Linked DNA regions of Arabidopsis thaliana. The protein of the gene in region 2 interacts with the protein of the main gene of each other region in a pairwise test. Each region holds a gene or a part of one and is shown on either strand. Other genes may lie near its edges. The genes, in order: bZIP2, BZO2H3 and RR18.

Region 1 (3,568 bases), on a different chromosome or scaffold from region 2:
TGTCCTTTTGTATGAATGATACTTTTAAGCAAAAATGTTTGACTGACGAAGGTTTTAATACATTTCTAAATAATTATCATACACCTAAGATTTGCTCATCTGTGTTTTAACTAAAAAAACCATAATCTTATATTAAAATGATGGGTTCTTGCAACAAAACCCTCTAAACATATAAGCATCATATATATGTTTGAAGATCTTTTATTTTTCACATACATTATGATAAATTTCTCCTAGTCGCAAGGAACTCTATTTGTTATATAATTGATCATTATTTAGCACTTACGTTGCTGACAACGAATTATATTACAGGTGAAATTTGACTTGGTAGATTTGACATGTTATCTAGAAGTTCCTTTTTATTGTTATTTGCAGAAAAACCAAAACTTAATTGTAAATGCAGCTTATATATATATATATATATAATCATCAATCCAAAATGTGATTTTTTTCATTCTTAAAAATTACCAATCCAAAAAGTTGCTTTTCTCGAAGCATAAACAAACCATTATCCGAATAAACAATTGGAATATTAAGGTGAAAGACAAAATCATGATAACATAAACATATATAATCATATAATTATAACAAAACACACACCAATACATGACAAAGTACAACTCATATATATATGCCCCAATATATATATAAAGTTTATATTTATCCTTCCAACCAATCAAAGATGCATGTACTATAATTACATCATCACACCAACCCAAAAACACCAAAATGGGCTAAATTTTAAAATAAAAAGACAAAAAAGGGGCATCTAATTATTTTAATTAATTTTATTAATCAATACATATTGATATCATTAGCCATAATGGGTTGGTTAGTGTAAACCGAACCACCCCAATGATTAACATTACTCATCATATTCATATCATCGTAATATCCGTCGATCCCAACCGTACGATCATCAAAACCACAGCCGTCGATCTGGTCAACACCAAATCCTGCACCGTTGGATTGAACAAGATCAACGATCTCGTTGAGAGATTGGAGTCTGGTGCTAAGCTCCTCCATCTGAGCGGTGAGAACAGAGTTCTCGGCTTGGATCTTCATGTAAAGCTGAGATGTTACGGTGAGGCTGTTCAAGATCTGACGGTTGTCGTTTGATAGCTGATTGATCTGAGCCGTTAGATCATCAACGTGTTTCTGTTTACGCATCCTTGACCTACGTGCAGATTCTCTGTTCGATAACATTCTTTTACGTTTTCGTTCGTCGACGGTGACGACGGAGTCCGACGGGTTATTATTACCACCGTCGGAAGAGCTTGAGCTCCGGTATGTGCTGCTAGATGACGCCATTGATTTTTAACAAGAAAAGTTACAAGAAGACAAAAAAAGGACAGAGTTTTATGTTTTATGTTTGGTTTTTTTTTATGATCTGTCTGAAAAAATTAATTAGAGTTTGTAGCAATTCATGAAACGTTGTAAAACCAGTAGAGGAAGACGACGGAGAAAGATTGAACGAGATGGGTTCTACGGCAGAGAGCAGATTTGACCGTGAGCCCAGAGAGCAGGATTTCGCAGAGAACGGGAGTCATCAGTTTCCGATCATCAAAAGACTCAAATTTTTATGTTTTCTCGGTCTGAATTTATGATGTCAGAACTTGAAAACAAACAGAGGAAGAGTTTTTTTTTTTTTTTGGTTATTGGAGAAGAAACAGAGGAGCTCTAAATATAAAAAAGAAAACAGCAGAAGATTTTTAAGGAGATAAGGAAGAGAAGATGAGTGAATGGGAAAGAGGTTTTTGATGAAGGGTGTGTTATGGATTATATAGAAACCAAATCTCAAGCATCCACTTGTGTCTTTTTAATTTATTTTGATTTTTTGGGAAATAATGGATGGTGGGGAAAGCTGGAATCGTTTACGCGCCCATTGTTTTATCATTTTTATTTTTTACTAACAAAATGATTCATTATAATTTTATTAAAAAAAATATGTAGGTCAGTAGGTGGATGTTGCTTTTTTATTTTTTTGGTAATGACACTTTACTTTTTGATTGTTTTTTTGGTATTCAAAAGAAAAATATTAATGGTAAGTATAGATTTGTGTGGTTTAATGGTGTGATTAATGATATGTAGTAGGATAGACAAATAGGTAGGTGGTAAAAGTTGACCAGATATCAAGATTAAAAAGAGTGAAAACTATTGAAAATAGTCAATGTCTTGAAAATTGCATGTAGTCAATGTAGGAATTACAGAAAATCTTTGATAATTTTTGTTGCCATTAATTCAGTCAATGGCTTTGAATATTTTGATACATACAATTGGTGAATTAAAAGTGATATCAAATAGGAAGGTGATAAATTTAATAATTTTCCAACGAAATAAAATTTTGTAAAACATTATTTCAGCCAACATTTTAAGAAAATATAGAATATTTAAAAATAAAATTTAAAGTATGTGGATTAAGTAAATTCATGAGGATTTGTGGGATTGATATGTGCTCTGATATTTCAATCTAATACAGTAATTTCGAGCCATGTGATTGATATCAAAATTTTGAATTTAGTAAATGATTTCGAACTAAAAATGTTAGTATCTAATTTGTGTGTACTAGATCATTGTTGTTCGTCTTAATTATTGAAAAGTCTCATAAAGTGTTTGTACGAGTTGTTGAATTTGTTTAACACAAAATAAAAGCTGATCTTACTGAAGGTAAGAACTAAAATGAAACGAAAACTGTCACAAATTGTTAGAAAAAGTTATAATATAGTTATAAGAGATAAATCTGAAGTATGTTTCTAATTATTTATAAATTGTTACAAATCCAATGAATGTCTAATACATGTAACACGTATCATTAATTCATATTCTACAGATAATGTTTACTCCATTTTCAAAATAACTACACTACATCATTTGTAATAATTTCAATTGATTTACTAAATTTTCATATCTATAAAAATGGATTATTCTTTTCTTATTGGTAAAGACACACAAAAAATATAAGAAAATAAAGCACTATCATCATCAACATCATTTCTTTATTTGTATATCTTTTTGTTTACAATTTTAAATTTAATTCTATAACATTTTACAACACTTATCATTACGCGTTTTAATTGTTTGAGCTTTTGAAATTCAACTTCAGAAAAATTTCCTGTGACGAGTCTAACGGTCGGATAATCTTTATATTGATCACAATTGTTTGATGAATAACTATAAACATACATTAAAACAATACTACAGGCAAATTAATTAATAAAACCTTATATTAAAAATAAATTACATATAAATAATAAAAATTAAGTGATAAACCACAATTCAACCAACTCCTTTTCTAAATGAAACAATATGTAAAAATGTAGAGAATTGAAAAGTAATCAAGAACATGAACAACAACAACCTTCAATATTACACCGAATTTTTGTGGACAATATTTTGGTTGTTTTAAAGATTCGAGATCAAATTTACCTAAGTTTTATGAACAAAATGTTATATATGAAATTATAGAATATGTTTTTAAAATGCTCTAGAAACACTTAACAATGTAAGTTGATCGTTTTATCATACGTTATATATATATTTTAAATTATATCATTGATCATATTTTAAA
Region 2 (4,058 bases):
TCTGAGTGTAGCCGTTGAATAGTCCATTCATCGGATTTTTAATAAACCTTAAACATGACACCAGGTCAAAATAAGAATGATTTAGAAATTGATTCATAACCTAACCTACATAATAATTCTTCCTAAAATAAGACAAAATGTCACACGAAATTATACAGTTTGAGATTTTTCTAAACCACTTTAACATAGAAAAGTCTACAAAATTCTACTAATGGTGTAATAGAGACGTACTTTGATAAAACGTAAATCATTCTTTCAAATAGAGTTGAACTACTGATATTCTCAAAGTCAAACCACCAACATCCACTTGGTTTGCAAGTGTTATGTTTCTCTCTCACTAGATATTCTCTTGATAAAAGGTTTTGCACAAGTGTACTAATATATGCAAAAATAAAGGACCCACCAAAATATGCAACTTGAATTTGGATAGATTCTTATCCAAAAATCAGAAGTTTAGTACATTTCTCTAATCTAACTTCACTTACAAAACTATATATTATGTTCCTCTCGGATCTCTCCTTTCCTTTGTAAAATGCAAATGGGAATATTAAATGGACCCATGAAATGAAGTTACGTTACAAAACCGACGACAACTATAATATTTATTATTTATATATTCTTGTGATGCAGATCAAAATTTAAATTGACTAAAATACCCCTTGCCACGTCAGTCTGACTTGGATTTGCCCCAAAAAGCGTTGAAAAAAATATTATTAAATCCAATAAGGCATAAACAAATATTATTACATGTATATTTTAAATATTACTTTAAGCTCCTCATATTCTTCTGTTTTTATCAATTATACACCAACATTTGTTGTTTATAAATATGAACCCCTAATCGTCCCCTTTCAAACGTGGAATATAAGATCGATATATATTACACATTTGAGTAAACAATTAGGCAATGAAGTTTGTGAAGGAGACTGCATTTCTGATAATCTTAATAATTTTTGTTTTCTTAATAATATTATTTATTTTTTTTATAAAATGGTCTGAAAAATTACAATCATTACATCGTTTCTAACGGTTTTTTCTTTCTTAAAGAATCGTTTTTAAATTTAAAATTTTCGATTATTTTTGATTTTTACCGCTAATCTTGGAATTTATCTTGAGTGCTCAAGAGTGAGTAAAATCCCTTACCTCGAAAAATCCCTTTATGGTAGAGGACGTTGGTGATAGTAACAATTTTTTCTCGTAGCTCGGTCATTGTGTCGGCCATTGTGAGATCGAAGAAAGATATTGAGATAAGGTGGGTTAAGCAGTAGATTCTCCGTTTTCCATTGTCCACTAGGATACAATTTTCTTTTTTGACTCTGATCAGTTTTTTCTATTTTAATTTGTGTATCTTAATATTATTATTCGTTGTAACTGTAGGCGAATCTCACCTTTTTTAAAAACATGTTTTAAGAAAGAAAAAAAAAAGTTTGACACTTTAATTATTTTTTCCATTCTATATATCTTATAAACTAAAAATTGTTCTAAAAAGTAGAAAAATTAGTATAACTAAAACCATATTTCCAGATACTTTTTTCCTTTTATTTATTATTAGTTCTGTTGTTAATAAAAATCGTTATAATTTTTTGTATTATGACCTGTCGTTTTTTAAGATACTACAAGAAAACAGTGACCTAACAGAATAAATCAAAAGTTTTTGCTGTAAATAGAAATACACGACTCTTGTCGGGGCCATTAGGGTAATAATCAGACAATTAAATATCTAACAAAACAACAAAACTTGAAAAGAACATATTATTAAAATGCAAGACTGCCCAATCGGATAAGAAGAAACTGTTTTGACAATTTGAAACCAAAAAAAAATAAATAAAACTAAAGAAACAAACAAATTACAAAAGAGAAAAGATGGAAAAAGTTTTCTCCGACGAAGAAATCTCCGGTAACCATCACTGGTCGGTTAATGGAATGACGTCGTTGAATCGCAGTGCTTCCGAATGGGCATTCAATCGTTTCATACAAGAATCCTCCGCCGCTGCAGACGACGGAGAATCTACGACGGCGTGTGGTGTTTCCGTCTCCTCTCCTCCTAATGTTCCTGTAGATTCAGAGGAATACAGAGCATTTCTCAAGAGTAAACTTAATCTTGCTTGTGCTGCTGTCGCCATGAAAAGGGTACTCACTACTCTGCTCAAGTTTGAGTTTTTTTTTTTTTCATAGAAAAAGAAAAACAAAACCTTTTTATCTGTTAGTTTGATGAGTTCACTTGAAGCTAAGAAACTAATCTTGTTTTGTTATGTTTGAGTGTTAAGATCTTATTGGACCTTTTGTATATGATTTGCCATTATCTTCCTTGAGATTATAATTTGCATTAGTTAATTGATTTTGTGGTGTTAATATTGAAAATTTGATAGGGAACTTTCATCAAACCTCAGGATACTTCTGGTAGATCTGACAATGGTGGAGCCAATGAATCAGAACAAGCCTCTCTTGCTTCTTCCAAAGGTTTTACAATACATCTATGATAAGCCTTTTAAGATGTTATTGATAGTTGTTGTGTTTGTTTTCAAGATTTCTTGTAAATGCTAATGGACCAATCTGTATGCAGCTACACCAATGATGAGCAGTGCTATAACAAGTGGATCTGAGCTCTCTGGTGATGAAGAAGAAGCTGATGGTGAAACTAATATGAACCCTACTAATGTTAAACGCGTTAAAAGGTAACAAATTTACATCCTTTCTTGGACTTGAACATGAACATGAACGTGAATTTGTTTGTTATAGGATGCTCTCTAATAGAGAATCAGCTAGACGGTCCAGAAGAAGAAAGCAAGCACACTTGAGTGAGCTAGAGACACAAGTATGTTACTCTCGCAGCGTTCTTATTCTTTCTCCTTTAACTTTGTTTAGCTCACTTGTGCGACAATCTCCATTTCGTGTAGGTTTCACAGCTTCGTGTAGAGAATTCAAAACTCATGAAGGGTCTCACTGATGTAACTCAAACATTCAATGATGCATCTGTAGAAAACAGAGTTTTAAAAGCCAATATTGAGACACTACGAGCAAAGGTAAAATACTTTCTTTTATCTCTCTGTCTACCAAAACTCGCTATTGAAGCATGTTTGTTTTTGGCAGGTGAAAATGGCTGAAGAGACAGTGAAGAGACTCACTGGCTTTAACCCAATGTTCCACAATATGCCTCAGATTGTTTCAACTGTCTCTCTTCCTTCAGAGACATCAAATTCTCCAGACACTACAAGCAGCCAAGTGACTACACCAGAGATCATTAGCTCGGGGAACAAAGGCAAGGCCTTGATAGGGTGCAAGATGAACAGAACAGCTTCGATGCGTAGAGTTGAGAGCTTGGAACATCTGCAGAAACGTATTCGAAGCGTTGGGGATCAGTAGCTGTTAAAGAAGAATCTTGATTTGTAACATTAATCTTAAGACATATGTTAAGACAAAATGTTGTATGTTTTTGTAAAGAATTGTTTTTTCAGATTATTTAAATTTTTTTTTGTCTTCTTCGTTGATTGTTTGTGTTGAACTTCTAATTTTCATTGTACATGTCTTTTGTTAAATTTACAAAGTTTTTCTAATTTCTGTTAAGAATTACAAGTTTTATCAATTTCACCTAGTGAAACTATTGAAATGGTGATGAGGCAACGATGCAAACGTATAATTTTGGTTATTGAAACTAGAAATTACGAGTTTAATCCCAAATTTCGGCTCTTAGAATCGGGTTTCTATCAATAATTTTTGTTTAAATCCGAATTAGATTATAAATATATATATAAATAAAATAACTATAATTAAACCTTATTAATTTATATTTTTTTTCAAAGTAACCTTTAAATTATGATTTAAGATATTCAATTATGTTCGTTTTTTCGTATCGATTATTTTGATTTGGTTCAGATCGGATAAAACATCTCTAATAAGAATTAATATGCTCTTTTGTAGAATTAATATTCATGAAATATTTAGAAATTTTGTATATTATATAAAATTTAGGAGTACTTTTGACGTATTTTTTTTTGTCGACAATTTCTTTGATTACTAACCCAAAAGGGCAAATTATAAGAGAAGTATAGGTGAAATTT
Region 3 (4,901 bases), about 13 Mb from region 2:
TATCTCTCCACGTTGAGCCCTTTCACCACTTCCATCTCTTTCTTCTCTGTCATTTCTCTTCTTTTTCTTTTCTTCTTCTCTAAGATTTCGATGTTTTCTTTGAGGTAAAAGGATAAGAAGAGATTCTGTTCTTTATAAGGAAATAAAAAAATAATATCAAGGAGATTTCGCTGGGACGAGAGGATGCCACGTGGAAAGCGTGTAGGGCAAGGGTTCTAGTAGCGTCTAGCAGTTACAAATGTGAATAAAGGTGGAGGACACAAATGTCTTCCTTGTTCTGTGGGAAGAAGGATACAATACAATGGGCCATACAGTCACATTTTGATTTGACTTCCTCTAGCCGTTTCTAGGCCCCACCAAATTATCCTATCGACATCTAAATATCTCTTCTTGTTGACACTTCAAAATAGCTCCATATGTAAACCAACGATCTCAATTAGGCCCATTACTATTCGTATATTGGTTTTGAATAACAACACTTATTCAGAAACTTTATAAAATAAATTTTTGTAACAGGCTCGCTTTCAATTCCAATTCATAAAAGAGAGTATGAAACAGGTTGGTGTACTATGATCTATTGACAGTCGGAGGAAACAATGTGGGAAGAAATTTAAAAAAATCACATGAAAATGGTCTCAAGTGGAGAAACTTAATGCAACTGGTAGAGAAAGAGATGACTAGCTAAGGTGGAGGAAATGAATCAAAGCCAAATCTAGTAGCCACTGGCACCATTCCGTTATTCTCCTCCTGCAACAAACACATTCACTTTCATTTTCTACAAACTACAAAAGCTTTTAATCCAATCAAGAAAACAACCGCGTTACCTGTTTCATCATCTCATTCATTATGTCATCGAATACATCATGCTGGTTGTCATTCTCTGGCTTTCCCGACTTCATCTCTGGATCCAGCATTGTAGTAGCTTTTCCAACATACTCTTGACTGTTGTCTATTGGGTTCATCAGTGACTCATCCAAGCCTTTGCTTCTGGTTGAATTGTTGTCTCTGAAAACCATGTTATCTGCGGGTAGAGGATACTCAATGTTACCGAATGGATTGTTCAGCATGGTGCAGTTCTGTTGCTCCCATTTCTGTCCGCCTAACGGATTCACGTTCTGCATGAAGCCGCCAAGTAATTGAGGATCACACTGCATCTCTCCACCAGGATTCTCTGCAGAAACCAAAGAAGTACAATCTCCCAGATTGTTCCCTGCACATGTCACTTGATCCGGCAAGAAAGCAAGATTTAGTGGTAAGGAACTCGGTGGGAATCTGGTTGTGTTCAAATTCCCTTGCCAGCTATGACCAGGAAATCTAGATAAGCCTTGGAAACTGATGTTTGGGGAGGCAGAGTTGGACGGAGTTCCCTCGATGCAAGGCTGAATTCCATCTGAGGCTATATGCAGGGGTTGTGTATAGTTTGCTTGCAACATTAGAGGATTGGTGGAAGCACTTGGTAAAGAGGTGCTAGAGCTACCAAATGGCATACAAGTATCTAGGAAGCTACCGCCAATAGCTCTGTCCCCTAAGCCTTTAAAATCTCCAATGTATGACTTGCTTCTAGGAAACTGGAGGGGTTCTAGTGGAGATGAAGTTCGCTGAAACAGATTCACGTTCTGGATTCTTGGTGACAGAGTACTGTGATATGTTCCAAACGGATTAGCTGAATTGCTTGAGTTCTGGTGATGCCCCTGTTGGATGAAGCTGGAGGAGTTCATTCCTTGGAGATTTATCGATGAATACATAGGGGGTTGGAGTTTGGTGAGATGGGAACGCGATAAGAGTCCTGAGCTTGGAATTTGTCTTGCGGCAGTAAAATCTCTAAGTCCATCAAGTTGAGCCATCTGAAAGTAAGATGAATCTCTTGTTCCAAATGCATCTGGGGTCATATTTTGCTGCTGACCTTCGTCTATCTTTTTCAAGTACAGTCTGTACTTCTGCAACCAAAACCAGAGAATAAAACAAGTCTAACCATCCAAGATTATATTTGCGAAAGAAGGGGAAAAATGCAAGAGAGAATGGGGAATTAGTACCTGCAAATGACTGGCTACGTTTTCCCTAGTGAGACCTTCTATACTCATGAGATCAAGTATTTTTTTGGGAACAGCCTCTGTGATGAACACAAGGAGAAATGAAAAGAGGATCCCACACATGAAAGCATCAAAATAACTCTATAGGAGAAACAAGAGTGGACATCACACATAAGGAAAGGTTTAAAGAGGTCTATGGGGAAACTCACTGTCGAGGCCCAATTGCTGAACGGCACTGACAAACTTCTGGTGAAGCTCCTGAGACCAAACAACACGTGGCTTCTTCCGCGTACCTGACCCGTCACCATCCTGTTCACTCCCCTCACCATCATCCTCTTCTCTGTCACTGTCATCTTCATCACCACTGTCATTGACTTTGTCTTTCCGTTTCCTGCTGGCGCTTGGGACGGAATCAGATTCAGAAGGTGGGAGCAGTTTTGCGTAAGATTTAATGTTCTTCTTCACAACATGATGCCATATATTCTGAAGCTCCTTGAGTCCAACAGGCTTGACCAGATAATCGCAAGCGCCATGTATAATACCTTTCATAACGCTGTCATAGTCGCTATGAGCTGACAACACTGAGACAATGAAGCAGGTTACAATAAGGGCTAGAGTTGATATGAAAAACAATGGTAGGAGACGTACTGATGACAGGAAGGTCCATTTCAAGACCAATTTCAAGCAACTTAAAACCATCCGTGTCTGGCATCTCTACATCGCTTATCACCAGATCAAACATGTTGCTGTTTTCTCTCAGCATTTCCAGAGCTTTCCTCGACTCCATTGTCTTTGTCACTGGCGTAATCAATCAAACATCATTGACCATGCACCCCAATTCCGAAGCAGACAGGTAAAAAAAAACAAAAGCAAAGAATATGTAGTACCATGATACTTGCAACGAAGCAGCAACTCTTCGAGTTTCCGAAGGCAGGTTGGATTGTCATCCACAGCAAGAACCCTCATTCCTACAGGAAACTTGTCATGCCTTCCATCTTCAGTGCTTCCAAACTCCATATTTGATGCAATACGTTTGCAAGTCTCCTCTCTTCAAAGGAATATAGTACATAGACTAAAATCTGATCTGTTTTATTCTTAAAACCTCAAGTTTGGGACTAGAAGAAGACCATAGTCCTCCTATAGACAAATGTAAAAAGATAAAGACGAGTGGCCCAAAAGAGAGAGTGATTACGCGGTTAATCTGGCCCTTAATTCTCCAAATAATTAGAAATTTCCTTCTGTTTCTGCTCATATTTCCATAAATGAGGACGTGGAGAGAGTCACATGTTCCTCTAATTTCTCTTTTGTTGGTTGAATCTTGCCTTATCTGAGCACAAAAGACAAACTTTTCGTAAAGTGAATGTAAATGTCCCCATTTTGTTTCCTTACTCGCAAATAAACGTTCAAACCCAACGTTTCAACCTTTCCTGGCTTTCCTTATATATATGCATTTCCTATTTTCCATAGAAATGTTTTTCCTTTTTAGTCTTCTAAGTGAATGCACCAAAACAAAACAAAAAAAATCTGATTTTTGACATAACGCGTATGGTCTCAGTTCCAAAAAAAAAGAGAATTCGACAAATGCAATGGACTGACCTGATCACATTCAGGCATTCGAATCCGTCGACTCTTATTACTCCACATTCTTAGTCAATCGTCATACTTGTGATTACTCTGCCATTTTCTTGATTATTCTATCTGAAATCACAACCAATGTGAAAACTGCGTCACAGATGATTGTTGCTGATGAGTCTCCAACAGTCTTAACTTTATCCATCACCAAACCCTTGGAACTATGCACCACTCCAAAAAATAGTCTTTGATCTGATTTCCACTACCACAGAGACTTATTTTCCAGTTTCCTTCCATTTGAAGAAATCGACAACTCTGTGATCTTCTTATACTCAGATTATTATTACCATTCGATTTCTTCAAATGGAAGGAAACTGGAAATAAGTCTCTGTGGTAGTGGAAATCAGATCAAAGACTATTTTTTGGAGTGGTGCATAGTGCCAATTGGACTCAAAGATTAAGAAATTAGATAATCGTCTCCTAGTTTCCTATCTAGAAGAACGAGAGCAAGGAGAAAGGGAAACTTCATATGAAGAATTGGAAGTTGTACAAATCTGTAGTACTATAGATGTCTAAAACAACAAAAGGACAGTCTCTCCAGCATTTATGAAACAGAGCTCCAGGGAGAAAGAGAGCGCAATAGACTTTCCCAACTACTATAGTACAAATTCAAATGCTCATTTGGGCCTGATTTATTGAACATGGCAATATGGCATTGTTTTAAGGTCAGTTTGGTCCCAGAAAACAGCTCTAATAATCACTTGGTCTAAGGAAGAGAAATCAGAATTCAAGAAGAAAAAAAAATAGTTCAAGCCATCACACAGAATTACAAATTGACAAGAAGAAACCATCAAAAAATAGAGACTGCGATGGCTGCCACCATCAGTAGTGGGAAAAAGAACCCGTGTTCCCGGGCTGCCCCACCGTAGTAAGGTTCTATCATAATCGGAAATCTGCAAGTTCCAGTAGATGGATCTGTCTTGGTCACCTCTGATATGTTTGGGAACTTACAAGCTGTATCAAGCTGATCCTGTATCTGATAATAACTGTTGAATGCATACGATATGTTTTGTTTCCCGTCAAGATTAGCACAGGACGTCCCAACCCCAAGACTAGTACAGTCCCCAAGGCTACACGCGTAGCTCACGGCTGGAGCTACCTGCGGATCATCCAACCTCACATTTGGCTTCATCACACACCACTTCCTCTCTAGGTAGCGTACCCCTTTGGCCTGGATCAGAGCTCCTGTGTTCGTTGTCCCTAGGTTCAAGGCATATTTTGGTAAGCCGTCAAATGTGA

What was found.
Region 1: the proteins of BZO2H3 (region 2) and bZIP2 interact in binary tests that used the Arabidopsis thaliana proteins (3 or more experiments, as listed by UniProt).
Region 3: the proteins of BZO2H3 (region 2) and RR18 come close enough for resonance energy transfer, tested with the Arabidopsis thaliana proteins (one study listed by BioGRID).

Annotation. Positions count from the first base shown.
Region 1 is NC_003071.7:7,897,493-7,901,060, forward strand, and holds bZIP2 (basic leucine-zipper 2), read right to left. Parts: upstream 1,751-3,568; 5' UTR 1,312-1,750; coding exon 796-1,311; 3' UTR 520-795; downstream 1-519. UniProt on the Arabidopsis thaliana protein: Transcription factor that binds to specific DNA sequences in target gene promoters. BZIP2-BZIP63-KIN10 complex binds to the ETFQO promoter to up-regulate its transcription.
Region 2 is NC_003076.8:10,795,953-10,800,010, reverse strand, and holds BZO2H3 (bZIP transcription factor family protein), read left to right. Parts: upstream 1-1,705; 5' UTR 1,706-1,863; coding exon 1,864-2,130; intron 2,131-2,369; coding exon 2,370-2,460; intron 2,461-2,563; coding exon 2,564-2,675; intron 2,676-2,739; coding exon 2,740-2,815; coding exon of another isoform or gene 2,816-2,897; coding exon 2,898-3,023; coding exon of another isoform or gene 3,024-3,090; coding exon 3,091-3,363; 3' UTR 3,364-3,554; downstream 3,555-4,058. UniProt on the Arabidopsis thaliana protein: Transcription factor involved in controlling responses to starvation. BZIP2-BZIP63-KIN10 complex binds to the ETFQO promoter to up-regulate its transcription.
Region 3 is NC_003076.8:23,501,104-23,506,004, forward strand, and holds RR18 (response regulator 18), read right to left. Parts: upstream 3,067-4,901; 5' UTR 3,048-3,066; coding exon 2,918-3,047; intron 2,829-2,917; coding exon 2,679-2,828; intron 2,612-2,678; coding exon 2,240-2,611; intron 2,111-2,239; coding exon 2,034-2,110; intron 1,938-2,033; coding exon 825-1,937; intron 748-824; coding exon 682-747; 3' UTR 502-681; downstream 1-501. Other genes in the region: TIL (temperature-induced lipocalin), read right to left, coding at 1-53; AT5G58090 (O-Glycosyl hydrolases family 17 protein), read right to left, coding at 4,453-4,901. UniProt on the Arabidopsis thaliana protein: Transcriptional activator that binds specifically to the DNA sequence 5'-[AG]GATT-3'. Functions as a response regulator involved in His-to-Asp phosphorelay signal transduction system.